Regions from separate parts of the Mus musculus genome. Here all the other regions are reported to be linked to region 3. Evidence: microRNA targets listed by miRTarBase, many of them from high-throughput screens and not tested one by one. Region 3 holds a microRNA gene; each other region holds the end of a gene's coding sequence.

Evidence for each region. The annotated mature microRNA mmu-miR-125a-5p reads UCCCUGAGACCCUUUAACCUGUGA and lies in region 3 at 1,553-1,576, shown strand. An mRNA with a match to its seed (bases 2 to 7 or 8) in the 3' UTR can be bound and repressed. Matches are read on the target gene's strand: a 7mer-m8 pairs with bases 2 to 8, a 7mer-A1 pairs with bases 2 to 7 and ends in A, and an 8mer does both.
Region 1: miRTarBase lists Ppp2ca as a target of mmu-miR-125a-5p. Seed matches in the 3' UTR shown: 7mer-A1 at 1,078-1,084.
Region 2: the mRNA of Mgat4a is a reported target of mmu-miR-125a-5p. Seed matches in the 3' UTR shown: 7mer-A1 at 2,987-2,993.

Annotation. Positions count from the first base shown.
Region 1 is chr11:52,121,340-52,125,582 of GRCm38, forward strand. It overlaps Ppp2ca (protein phosphatase 2 (formerly 2A), catalytic subunit, alpha isoform), which reads left to right. Exons shown (of 7, transcript NM_019411.4): 7 at 563-1,410. The coding sequence ends at 635. Among named protein-coding and RNA genes, the nearest start is that of Mir3061, 3.3 kb to the right of the region's middle.
Region 2 is chr1:37,441,277-37,445,519 of GRCm38, forward strand. It overlaps Mgat4a (mannoside acetylglucosaminyltransferase 4, isoenzyme A), which reads right to left. Exons shown (of 16, transcript NM_173870.3): 15 at 3,531-3,643; 16 at 1-3,409. The coding sequence ends at 3,383. Among named protein-coding and RNA genes, the nearest start is that of Unc50, 13 kb to the left of the region's middle.
Region 3 is chr17:17,829,265-17,833,507 of GRCm38, forward strand. It overlaps Mir125a (microRNA 125a), which reads left to right and starts at 1,548; the gene lies at 1,548-1,615. It overlaps Spaca6 (sperm acrosome associated 6), which reads left to right and starts at 1,711. Exons shown (of 9, transcript NM_001162909.1): 1 at 1,711-1,998; 2 at 2,795-2,875. The coding sequence starts at 1,740. It overlaps Mir99b (microRNA 99b), which reads left to right and starts at 924; the gene lies at 924-993. It overlaps Mirlet7e (microRNA let7e), which reads left to right and starts at 1,088; the gene lies at 1,088-1,180.

The DNA of each region.
Region 1 (4,243 bases), not on the chromosome of region 3:
AACTCTGTGAGTGAGGCCAGCTTGGTCTATATACAGAGTTTCAGGGGCTATATCAAGAAGCCATGACTCAAACAAAACAAAGCAGAGAGAAGTGTGTGGGCCCTTGCTTGTTGCTTATGCTCAATTAGCTTTCTTCATTCTTAAACAGATGAAGGCTCTCTGCCTAGGGAATGGTAACAGCCACGGTGGGCGTGGTGTTCTTACATCAATTAAGATGGTCTTCCACAGACATGCTCACAGGTCAACCTGATTTATATAAGTCTAGTCCTCAGTTAGAACTGTTCCCAGGTAATGGTTCTCTTGTGTCTGGTTAACAGCTAAAACTAACCATGTGTTTGTAGCCCAAGCTGGTCTAGAACTGTGATTTTCTTGCCTCAGTTTCCCAAGTGGTAATGTTAGAGCTGTGCCCCAATATACCTAGGTCTATTAAAGTTGGGTTCTATTCTTTTAAAATGTACTGAAGTTGGATGGGGAAGAAAATTTGAAAATTTGGAAGATGTTAGTTTTGTTAACTACATGGTATCTTCTGGAGTAGTAACACTGAGTCTTCCTTGTTTTTCAGCTTGCAGTTTGACCCAGCACCTCGTAGAGGCGAGCCACATGTCACTCGTCGTACCCCAGACTACTTCCTGTAATGAAAATGTAAACTTGTACAGTATTGCCATGAACCGTATATTGACCTAATGGAAATGGGAAGAGCAACAGTAACTCCAAAGTGTCAGAAAATAGTTAACATTCAAAAACTTGTTTTCACACGGACCAAAAGATGTGCCATATAAAATACAAAGCCTCTTGTCATCAACAGCCGTGACCACTTTAGAATGAACCAGTTCATTGCATGCTGACGCGACATTGTTGGTCAAGAATCCAGTTTCTGGCATAGCGCTATTTGTAGTTACTTTTGCTTTCTTGAGAGACTGCAGATATAGGATTAAACATTAACACCCGTGAGTCCAGTTGACTTCACTTAGCTGTAGCTTACTCAGCATGACTGTAGATGAGGATAGCAAACAATCATTGGAGCTTAATGAACATTTTTAAATAAGTACCAAGGCCTCCCCTCTTGTTGTGTTTCTTTCAGGGATACCATTAATTTAATTGTATGATTTGTCTGCACTCAGTTTCTCCCCTTCTCAAATCTCAGCCCCGCGTTGTTCTTTGTTACTGTCAGAAAACCTGGTGAGTTGTTTTGAACAGAACTGTTTCCCTCCTGTAAGATGATGTTACTGCACAAGTCACCGCAGTGTTTTCATAATAAACTTGAGAACTGAGAAAGTCAGGTTTGAATTGTATCAGTGGGCACGACTGGTGCTGTTTATTAACAAGATAAATCTATTGATCAATTTCAGAATTTGTAGAATCCCAGGTAAAGAAAAATAAAGATCAAGGCCACTGTGTAACCTCTCTGGCAACTCCTTGGTGTTCTTCAGAAGAACTTGGGGACCTGTTTGTCTGACATACCGCAGTTTGTCTTGTTGCTGGCCTGCGCTTGTGAAAGGAAATCTGTGCTGTTTTAGTGGGACTTGGTTGTTAAACCATAGAACTTGAGAGTTATGTTTTTAGGATTTTACTTAAAATGGCATGTTTTCAGGTAGAACTTAACAAACTAAATGATGTGTCTAATTAGTGTAGTTTCTGGTTACAAATATATTGCTATGTATATTTCATGGACTCTTTAAAATGATTGACAGAACGGTAAGTTCTTAACCAACATTTGTATATTTCTTGTCAAGTCATGTGATCTTAGAGTTAGTTAAACTTGTCTGGATAAGGTGTTAGAACCTTAGCTTGTGTTCCTTACCTGGTAAAGCAGTGAAGCCGAGTAGAAGCAATGCTGATGTGGGCTGATGTTTGCGCCAGGTCCGAGAATGGTGCCTGAGTGCCAAGCTCAGCGAGTAATGGGTTTCCCTTCTATTCTTTGACTTGGCTTAAAACCGAAGACAGTTCTTCTTGTGGGGACTGAATATTTGCTATTTTAAGCTATCTGGGCAAACATGAGGATGCTTGATCATTACTGTGTGAGTGTAGTAAATAAATGTTTCCTTGCTTTGTACTGTGTTGAATTTGGAACCAACAGTGAAGTTACAGTATTGCCCTGTATAAAAAAAAAAAAAAAAAAAAAAAAAACAAGCCAGTTTGTGAGTTAATTTTCTAAATCAAAAAAAACCCTAGGCCAGGTACTGGTGGCGCACACCTTTAATCCCAGCACTTGGGAGGCAGAGGCAGGCGCATTTCTGAGTTTGAGGCCAGCCTGGTCTACAGAGTGAGTTCCAGGACAGCCAGGGCTACACAGAGAAACCCTGTCTCAAAAAACCTTAGTTTTTCTAGGTGTCTTCTTTTTATTCTGAGTTCGAAGAAACACATTCTCCAGCCTGTTATTTGTGCTACTTCGTCTTTTCTTCCTGGCCAAACAAGTAACATCTATATACAGCACTGTTTTGTTTTGTTAGGGTGGGTTGTGGTAAGGGCAGGGCAACAGAGTCTTTCTGTTGCCCTGAGTGGCTGGGATCTTGCTATATAGGCCAAGCTGTCCTAGAACTCATGGATGATACTGCCTATATATGCCACCATGCCTGACTTAATGTACAGCACTTCTGATCCAACACTTGAGGGAGGTAGACACCAAGCAGCTGCACTGGGGATCCTGACGATAAAGAGGGCTCTAATGGAGTCTTTCCTATAGTTGACACATGTCATGTACATACAGATTCTCAGAATGGGGCTTGTGTCAAAGAGTGAGTGGTCTTAAAAGCATTCAGAGGCAATTACTAGGCTTCTCTTGAAATTTGAAAATGTTAATACTTTAACCTGATGTAAAATTAGTGAAAATGTGTGAGTTTAATAATTTCTTCAAAAAAATCAAATGATAGTTGGAAGGGAATCACTCAAATGAGAGAATTTTAATGGGCACTATAATGAGATTGCCATAATTTTTTAAGTCTTTTGATTAAGAGCAAAGAATTATCAAAAATGGGTGTTGTCAAGAAGTCTGGACAGGTGCTTAGCAGTCAATCTTGTAGCCCCCAGCTGCCTATAACTTCGACTCCAGAGGCCCTGATACTCTCTTCTGGTCTCCACGGCATCAGACACACATGTGGTGTACATGCCTGCAGGCAAACCACTCAAACAAAAAATAAAGATCAGTCTTTTTAAAAGACGTGTTAATGGCTACAAATGTAGTTCATTGGTAGAGCACTTGCCTAGCACATGTACTGTGCCCTGGGTTCCATCTCTAAAAGTTGTATATAATGACACATGTGTCACCCAGCATTGTGGAGGCAGATAGTGGATCTCGGTGCCTAAGAGTGAGTATTCAACAGGGAAGTGTACTTTGGATATGGTAAGGTGACTCAGCTGGTAAAGGCATAGTCACTTAGCAGCCACCCTGAAGACTCAAGCTCAGTCCATGGGATCTACGTGGTGGAAGGAGAAAACCAACTCCTGCAAGTTGTCCTCTGGCCTCCATGCACAAATGGTGATGTATGCACACACACAGATGTTTCAAAAAAGATAATTTAGGGGCTGGCGAGTGGAGCCAGAGTTAAGAACACACACTGCTCTTCAAGAGGACCCACATCCACCTCTGGTCTCCTTGGACATCAGTATTCATGTGCACATAAATTATTATTTTTTTATTAAAAGGTTGCTTTGAAACAATTTATAAAGCTTACTGTTGGGTTTGAGTACTTGAAGAAGATATGTATAATGGTTTTAGTAAAACAAAAACAATGTACTATCTAAGGTTTCCAGGTGATGTTTTGAGATTTGTACATTGTGTCAAGTCGGGCTATGTATGCCTCAAGCATTTATCATAATGGTCCTTGTAGCTATTTGAAATGAAACAAAAGTGTGGTGGTGTGGTTGCCACCTGCCTGTGTAATGGCACATCTGAGCCTCTTGAAATGTTCAGTGACCATTGGGAGACGGTTTGCCTTTCTTCATTACAAATGCACAGTGTCTCCCTTTCTTGACTTACTGTTTTGTTTATGTGTGTGGTGCTAACAGAGGCCTCTAGGTCCTCTGGAGCTTCAGAGTTGTGAGCTGCTGGTGTGAGTGCTTAAAGACCAAATCCAACCTCTGGAAGAGCCGCAGTTAATTCTGTGGTATTCAATCTTGATGCCCACATATTTTACTTTGAATTATTAGGAGCATAGTATGTCTAGGGTTAAGAACACTGCTGGGTGGGGCATGGTGACTCACATCTATGATATCAGCACTTGGGAGGCAGAGGCAGGTAAATGGA
Region 2 (4,243 bases), not on the chromosome of region 3:
AGTCTAGGTAGGTTCCCACTTACAAAGCTAAAGTGAAGGTGTTTACCAGGCTGGCTGCTCAAGGATTTCCATGTCCAAGCCTGGGTAAGTGTCTGGGTCAAATTGTCCTATGGCAAAAGGTCTGCAGGTCCCACTTGGTGGGTAACAGAGCCTCTGGCTCCTTAAGGCAGGTGACCTGCAGTCATTTAGGGGAGCCCCTTCCACTTAGACCAGCGATGCTGTTTAGAGTTCTGCTGCTGATGTCTCTCACTTCTGCCAGCCTGACATGGCTCTCAAGATTGGGCCAATCACCCACAGATGTGGTCACAGTTCTCGATACACTCAGAAGGGGAGGATATTATACAAGGTCATGAGGGGTCGTTCTTAGAATCCTGCATGTGACAGATACACACTTATTAACTAGAACAACCTTTGCCAACAACAACACTTTGCACATAAGCCAACTTTTCCTTGAGGGACAGCACTGTTGAGAACTGTAGTTCTCGTAATTATGAAAGACTTAAAAAGAAGTCTAGTCTCCCAACTTTCCTGATAGCTTTTGAGATAAGCACACCTAATCTTTTTACCAATGATTTCAAGAACCAATGATTTCAAGAACCTTTGTTCAAACACACTCTGATGGACATAACACACGTCTAACCTACAAGCGAAACCATCCATCCGCATTCACTTCTCATGCTTTTCAAACGTACCTCTTGAGGATCCCGAAGCAATGCATGCTGGGAAGAAGGATGACACTAACATGTAGCCGGGTAATCTTGACTGTCCCACCAAAACACACACCTTCACCTGCACTACGATGAATCCATAGGTCTATTTTTAACCACAGCAGCAGGATACATTACTACTCCTTTCTAGAATGCTCATGTTTACACATCCAGCAGAACCTCCCACCGTGATGTCGATGTCCCATATTCCTAGGATCCAATATGGTGGCTGCTGGCCATGTGGCCACTGAGCACTCCAAAGGCTGCCAACTCAACTTTTCATTTCAACAGATGTGTTTTGTGGCTTCTGTAGAGGCCAGCACTGCTCTAGAGTCTGGGCTATGTGAAATACCCACCGATACCAACTATGACCTATTTCACAGATATAATTAGTACTGCATTTGACACTTTTCCTATTCACTATGTGGGTGAAAGTCGGTTGGTGGCCTCCAAGGGATAATGTGGATGAACACTTTACAGTTCTAAGCACTCTGTCTTCACCTCCCCCGTCTTCATCCTCATCAACCTCCAGGGCTCCCACAAAATCTATTGGAAACATCTGTTTCCAATAGTCTAGTGCTGAACTGGGCACAAGAGGAGGAAGCAACTGGCACTGAGGGAGCAGGAGAGCGCCTGATGTGATGGAAGACAGGAGAGCTGGCCTCCAGAGCCTGGAGTGTATTGGAGAACACACACCACACACAATGAAGACTAGACACGGAGTGTGTGTGTGCCCGTGCACGGCAGGATAGTAGGCAGACATCGCTAGGAGAGAGATGTGAGCAACCTGGCTAGTTAATCCAGATGCCAACCGAGCCTGCCAAGGCTCAGGCGTGTTCCAGGCACCAGGAACTAGCTCATGGGGAAAGGGGGAATTCCTTGAATGAAGGAAAGGACTTGGCTAAAAGAGTCCTTAGAGGCAAGACTGATGAGTAGAGCCTTGTAAGTGGATATGCTCAAAGACCCACGCAGGAGACATTCACACGGTCCAGTGGAGTTTCAAGGCTTGGCCTTCTGAACTCACAACCACTGAGAAAGCAGAGACCTAACGGGGCCCCTGTGCCCATCTGCATGGTTTCACAGTCTGTTATCCTGCTGCTGCACACTTGAGTGTGGGAAGATAGTGGGATTTATTTGTGGGCACAGGGCATAGGAAAAGTGCCAAATGCAGTACTAATTATTAAAAAGCTGAAGGAAATGAGAGGGGAAACTTAACACCAAGAAAAGCTTCAGCTGGGCTTTGACATGCACAGTAGTGTTTATCTACATTTTCCCAGGCAGAACATACAAAATGGCTTCCACTCAGTTCTGTGTGTCCCATACACTGGGCAACTAAGAAAGCCCCCGACGGAGGCTACCAGCCGGGACCTCCCACAGCCCTAGGCCTCCACCACACCTGCTGTACACGCAGTTTCTGGAGAGCCAGAGAAGACTGGCAACTGTTGCTCGGCCTTCCTAATCATAAGAGTAAAGCACTTCTGCCAACTAGCGCTACTTGGGACTGCAAAGTGAGGATGCACAAACACTCTGTGGACACAGCATTTACCTCCACGTTCATGACACAGCGGAGCAAATCATGCTATGGAAACAGAAGTGCTACGGTCGTCTTTCTCCGAGTCCCATACCCAACAGGACACACCCAACAGCATTACTCAGAAAACAGTATCTGAACTCCAAAACCTACCACAGATCTAGAAAAGGACCAACCAGGGAGAAAAGAGACAGTTTGTCTAACTACTGATTAAAGACAGAGCAAAAGGGAAGGGAGTCTCATCACCCACATGAAAGGAACTATGAACGGGAAAAGGAGTCTGTGGAGACACGGCAGGGGCTTCCCACCTGGACAATGACAGTCACACTGGTTTTCTGTGGCTACACACCATACACAGTACAGTAATATAACCCTCGAGAGAACATTGGTCTTTTAAAATCTTGATTTTTAGGAATGACAAATGCCTCTGAAAATATTTTGTTCAGAATTGCTGTGATTATAAAAGTACTTCGAGTTAAGAAACCCATCTAGAACCAATCTGGAATGGCAGTGCACTGGAAAAAATGGCGTTGATCTATAATGTCGGCATCTCCAAATAAAAATATAGAAAGAACTTAAAAAAAGCCGGGGAACCGCTTCTTCAAAAAAAGGTGTTGATTCAAAACTTTACTGCACAAAAATATGTACTTCTTAAGTGCTTCTAATAAATTAACTTCATAACATCTTCATGTGTATTTATATATTTATATATATATATATATATATATGTATATATATATATGTAATATCCCTGATCGTCTATAAAAGAGGGTCTATAATAGTAAAATAAGTGAAGTTCAAAAGTACCCCCTTCACAAAATGTATTTAACATCAGTTTTCTCAAATTTTAAGGAATGTAACAATATGTACAACTCTTGTGTATTAGTATAATACCAAAATAGTCTCAGTCATGTTAACAGGCTGTCAGGATTGTAAAACGTTTGTGTCAAGTTCAAATTGGAGGACAGCTTAGCTTCAAATGAATGCAGTTATCCATGGGAAGAGTCCCTGTCCGCGTGGAGGCAACAATCATCTCATCTACAGTGGCTTCAAGAGAGGTAGTGTTCAAGTCCAAACAGAAGAGGACGCGCTAATTATCTTTAATCAAGAGTCATAAGAAAGGACGTGTTGGTTTCTAAGCAGATCAACTGGTGACTTTTTTAATATGAATCTGAAATACAAAAAAATATAAGATATGATAAAGCAGTTAATTCACAATTCCAAGAAGTCTTCATTTGCAAAATCAAAAAACGAAGCAGCTAGGCGGCTTTGCTGGCTGAATGTACTCTTACCTCATTAAGAATGGCCCAAACAGCTGAGTTCTGAATAACGGAAAGTCGAAAGGCTGAAATAGGGTTTAGACCAGGATCCACAATTCCCTCTGCAACACCATACTCAAATTTTCCTTCAAGACAGAAAATATTTTTGTTGTGTAAGAACTGTTGGAGGGTCATGCATGAAGTGCCACCAAAGTCAAAGTATTTGGTAGACGGGAAATCCATGCGTGTCTTTTAATCTGTTTTTACTCAGCTTTCAAAGTTCCATGAGCTGATGTACTCTGAAAGACCTTAGACGCAACCTGTCCAAAGCAGGAGCACACTTCTGCCCACTGTAAACTCAAAGCATGGTGACATCAACAGTATAAAACTGTTGCAGATGTCCGCAAACTGGCACTCTACTCAAACCTGATCAAAATCCATTTTCTAAGAGCGCTCAGCCTGCCTCCTGGAAGCTCAGCTGGTCATAAAGAGCCTCCCCGTTTCAGACATCAGGGATCAGCCTGGGCAGGGGCTCTGCCCATGTGTATCTTTCCAAGGCTCCATTGAGAAAAATTTCGATGTGTTGCCTGTTCCAGACAATTCCCATAGACTACTCCAATAAAAATGAGAAGCTAAGTCATGTGCCAGGTCATTGTTATCCAGAATATGTACAGAAAACAAACAATCACCCCCCGAAAAAAAAATCAAATAACCCAATTAATGAAGGTAAGTTGAACAGAGTAAGT
Region 3 (4,243 bases):
GAGAGGTGAATGTAAAGAGGGTCAGCTAGAACAGAGACAGCGGGAGGAGCAGGCATTCAGATATGGGCGAAGAGGAAAACCTCATCAGGGATGATACAAACAGAGAAAGAAAGGGAGAATAAGAAAAGAGCAAGGTAAGAAAAAATGGGTGGAGAGAAAGAAACAAGAAGACGGACATGGAACCTGGGAGCCCCAGAAGACCAGTTCTGTGCTCAGAGCCTCAGGGTGGGTGCAGGTCCTAGGGCTCCTCCCACCTGCCGACAACTGACTTTGGTCTAGTGGCTTCCCCTCTGGGGGCTCCTGTGTGCTGGGAGCGACCTCATTTCTGAGTTGGGAGGTGTTGAGGAGACAGGGTCCTGGTTGGTGTCATTATTCCTTGACCATAGCTATCACCCCAAAGGTTGAGAATGGTTTTGGAAAAGATAGGATTATTCCATGAGACCCATGAGGACTTCTGATACTCAGAAGGCCTTTAACTCAGGCCTGGGATATGAAACCTTTAGGGGTTACAGAAGGGGCTCAGATTGCCAAGACAAACGGGGATACATCCTTTCTGCAGTGCAGAAGTCAGGTCTCTAACCAGATTGTCTTCTCTAAGGGATGTGCCTGGTTGGACCCTGAGTCTGCCGGGGAGGGCTATGGGGTGGAGGAGAACTGTGAGGGTTAGGGACTGAGTCCCTGGGTCTGGACTGAGGAGAATTGAGTGCAAGGCGGCAGGGTCTGCTTCCCTGGATCTGTGGGAGGGAGGGCTGTGACCACTACCCCTTAGTCTAAGGGAGGAAGCTTTGGGACTGAGGGAGGAGGGCTGAGGTCTGGATCTCTGGCCTTGAAAGAGGGGGGCTGGGGCTTAGATTTTGGGGCTGGGACTGAATTCCTGGGTTCCTTGGGGAGGAGGGGGCCGGGGGCCCGGACTCCTGGGTCCTGGCACCCACCCGTAGAACCGACCTTGCGGGGCCTTCGCCGCACACAAGCTCGTGTCTGTGGGTCCGTGTCGGGGGCTCACCATCGCGGCTGGGACCTCCCCGGCCCTCCCCACCCTCCCTACTTCTGGTCTCCCATCAATCCATCTGTCAATCTGCCCACCTGCCGCGCCCCCCGGGCTGAGGTAGGAGGTTGTATAGTTGAGGAAGACACCCGAGGAGATCACTATACGGCCTCCTAGCTTTCCCCAGGCTGCGCCCTGCACTGGAAGGGGCCGGCGGGGACCCCAGGTCCACACCATTGCCCAAGAGTTCTTGATAGGAGCTGGGGTGTCTTCTCTGTTCACATTCTATCCTATCCCTTTTCTTTGCAGTCTCTATGCCATCTTGAGATTTTCGAATTTTCTGTCTCTGTCTCTTATGCCAATGTCTCTAGGGTTCTAGAAGCTTCTGTTTCTCTAGTGCTGTGAATGTATCTCTGTGACACTGGGTTTCTGAGCTTTTTGAGGCATCTCCTGGTTCCTTTCTATCTTCTGGGGCTTAGGGTATCTGTTTCTGTCTCGCTTCCCCGTTCCCACCTCTGGGGAAAAGGGTTTTTCTGGTCCACCATAGCTACACTGCCGGCCTCTGGGTCCCTGAGACCCTTTAACCTGTGAGGACGTCCAGGGTCACAGGTGAGGTTCTTGGGAGCCTGGCGCCTGGCCCAGCCACAAATTTAGGGATTTCAGGTGACCCCTGGCAACCTTCCTCTAGCTGGAGCCTGATGCTTGACCATCATTTGAAACTCAATCTCTGATCACAGGCTCCCCCTCCCCCACAATGACCTCACAAAGGTCACTATCTTCTCCTCAGACCCGGAGACCCTCTGTTATGGGTCTTATTTCCTTAGTAGGGAGCATTGTCCTGTTGTTCCTGCTGATCTTCAGGGCATCCACGTGGGCCTGTCTCTTCTGCTTCACTACCTATGAGGAACGCCTCCGTGTCTGCCAGCTGTTTGTGGGCAGAGAGGAAACCAAGATAAACCTGTGCAGAAATGAGCTTGAAGGGGCTTTTGAAGATCTCAAAGACATGAAAATCAGTGAGGAGCCCCTCCTTCCTGAACCAGGGCCCTGGGGAGGGGAAGGAGATTCCTTGAGCTACTCCAAGAAGAAAAGCCAAGTACAGGATCATGACATAGACACAGAGAAGAGAGACAGGTGGAAACAATGGAAGGAAACAGGTCCAGAGTGGGGTGGAGACAGACAAAACAGTGCCTCAGAGAGAGTCTAAAGACAGTAAGGGAAAGAGATGGAAAAGTAGAAGCATTGCTCAGAGAGAGGATATGGATTGGGAACACAGATGAGTGGGGAGATTAGAGACCTGGAGAGAGGGACAGAGAGCTAGGAATCAATCCAGAGAGATGAGAGACACACAGAGAGTAAGGTACATAGAGATAAGACAGGAACAGAGTCCCAAAGTGAGGGACATAGGTATAGATACAGAGAGTAGTTTCAGGAAGAATAGAGAGACAGTGATCTAGAGATAGGTGGGACAGAGACCAATGGGGTTGGAGTAAAGATGTAGATGAGGAAGCAGATCCAGGGTACCAGGTAACAGGCCTAGAGAGAGAGAGATTAGATGGATGGAGAGATACCAAGATTGAAGGTTTAGGTTAGGGTTAGGGAAACACACACACACACACACACACACACACACACACACACAGAGAGAGAGAGAGAGAGAGAGAGAGAGAGCTCTAGGTGGGGCACATAGAACAATAGACTGGGGCTATAGAATCTGGGATGATCACAGGGCTTGGAGATATTCAGCCATGAGTGGGACATAGAGAACACCATGGAACCAGGTTTGTGCCATGGTGTCTCATCTACCTTCAGACTATGATGAGAGGAGCTACCTGCATGATGAATTTACACAGATGACAGTTTCTCTTCAGGAGAAGGCTGCTAGACGACGGGGTGAGTGTTTTATGGGCATAAGTGGTGGGGAAAGTCATCTTGAGGAAGTGACCCTGGGAACCTGTCTGAGTTAGGTTATTTGTTGAGGAAACTCCAGAGATGAGGGGAGTCAAAGATGGCAAGGAACTGAGGGAAGTAAATAAGTCACAGGGAGTCTGAAGCTTTTGTGGGGTCAAGTACATGTGACCTATCTGGGATTCTCACTGTCAGGACTCTGAAGCCTGGATGTGTTCCTGCCTCTCAACCTGGGTTCCAACTACTCACCTGTAAGATAGTAAATTTCTTAGGCTCTCAGATTGAGTCATTCTTGTCATCTCTGAAGGTGGGACATTCTCATCTCCTAGGGTGAGACATTCTCTTTATCTCCCAGAGAGGTCGGAGCTCATTGGGAAGGAATGGTTCTTTTTTGAGATAGGTGTTATAGAAGATATGATCCCTTCAAACAAAACACACACACACACACACACACACACACACACACACACACACACATTGCTCATGGCTAGTGAAGATAGGAAGAGTGGAGCTAGCCATTCAGGGGAAGACATAGACATAGTCAGGGCCAGACTCTTCCTGGGACATTAGAGAACACCATACACATGTAGCTGTATGGAGCAGACATAAGGATCTGAGGACATGAATTTCAAAAAGATGTGATTAACACTAATCACACCAGATGCTCCCAACTGCTGGGCACACAGTCTCTTAAGTATATTAGATAGGAGTATTATAGCTATGTGAGAATTCCTTTTTGTTTGTTTATTCAATTAAAGGATAAATTGGCCATTCCCACAATCTGGGAGTTCAAGGCTTTTTTTTTTTTTTTTTTTTTCCTCAACTACAATGGTTCATTTTGTTCCCACTAAGTTTTATATCAGAGGCCCCCCCAAACAAAGAAAGGGACCATTTATTCAGGAGTGTCCAGGACTATCCAGAATTTTCTGTGTGTCCAAAGAAAAATCAGAGGAACCTGAGAGATGGAAGGAATGTAGAATGCTGGGATATGGATACTGTTGTTGACTGGACATGTCTCCATATTGAAAACTTGGAAAAATAGACCAAGGGTAGCTTTTGGGAGTAGGAGAGCTCTTTCTAATGTGAGACAGATTTGGGGGCAGGTGAAGGTTCTGGTTAGAGAGGAGGGGGTCTGATGCAGATCTGAGGCCATAGTGAAGAGGAGTACAACTGTCTCTAGATCATGCTCCTGTGGAGTACTACTGTCTCTAGATCATGCTCTTGTGGAGTACAACTGTCTCTAGATCATGCTCTTGTGGAGTACAACTGTCTCTAGATCATGCTCCTGTGGAGTACAACTGTCTCTAGATCATGCTCCTGTGGAGTACAACTGTCTCTAGATCATGCTCCTGT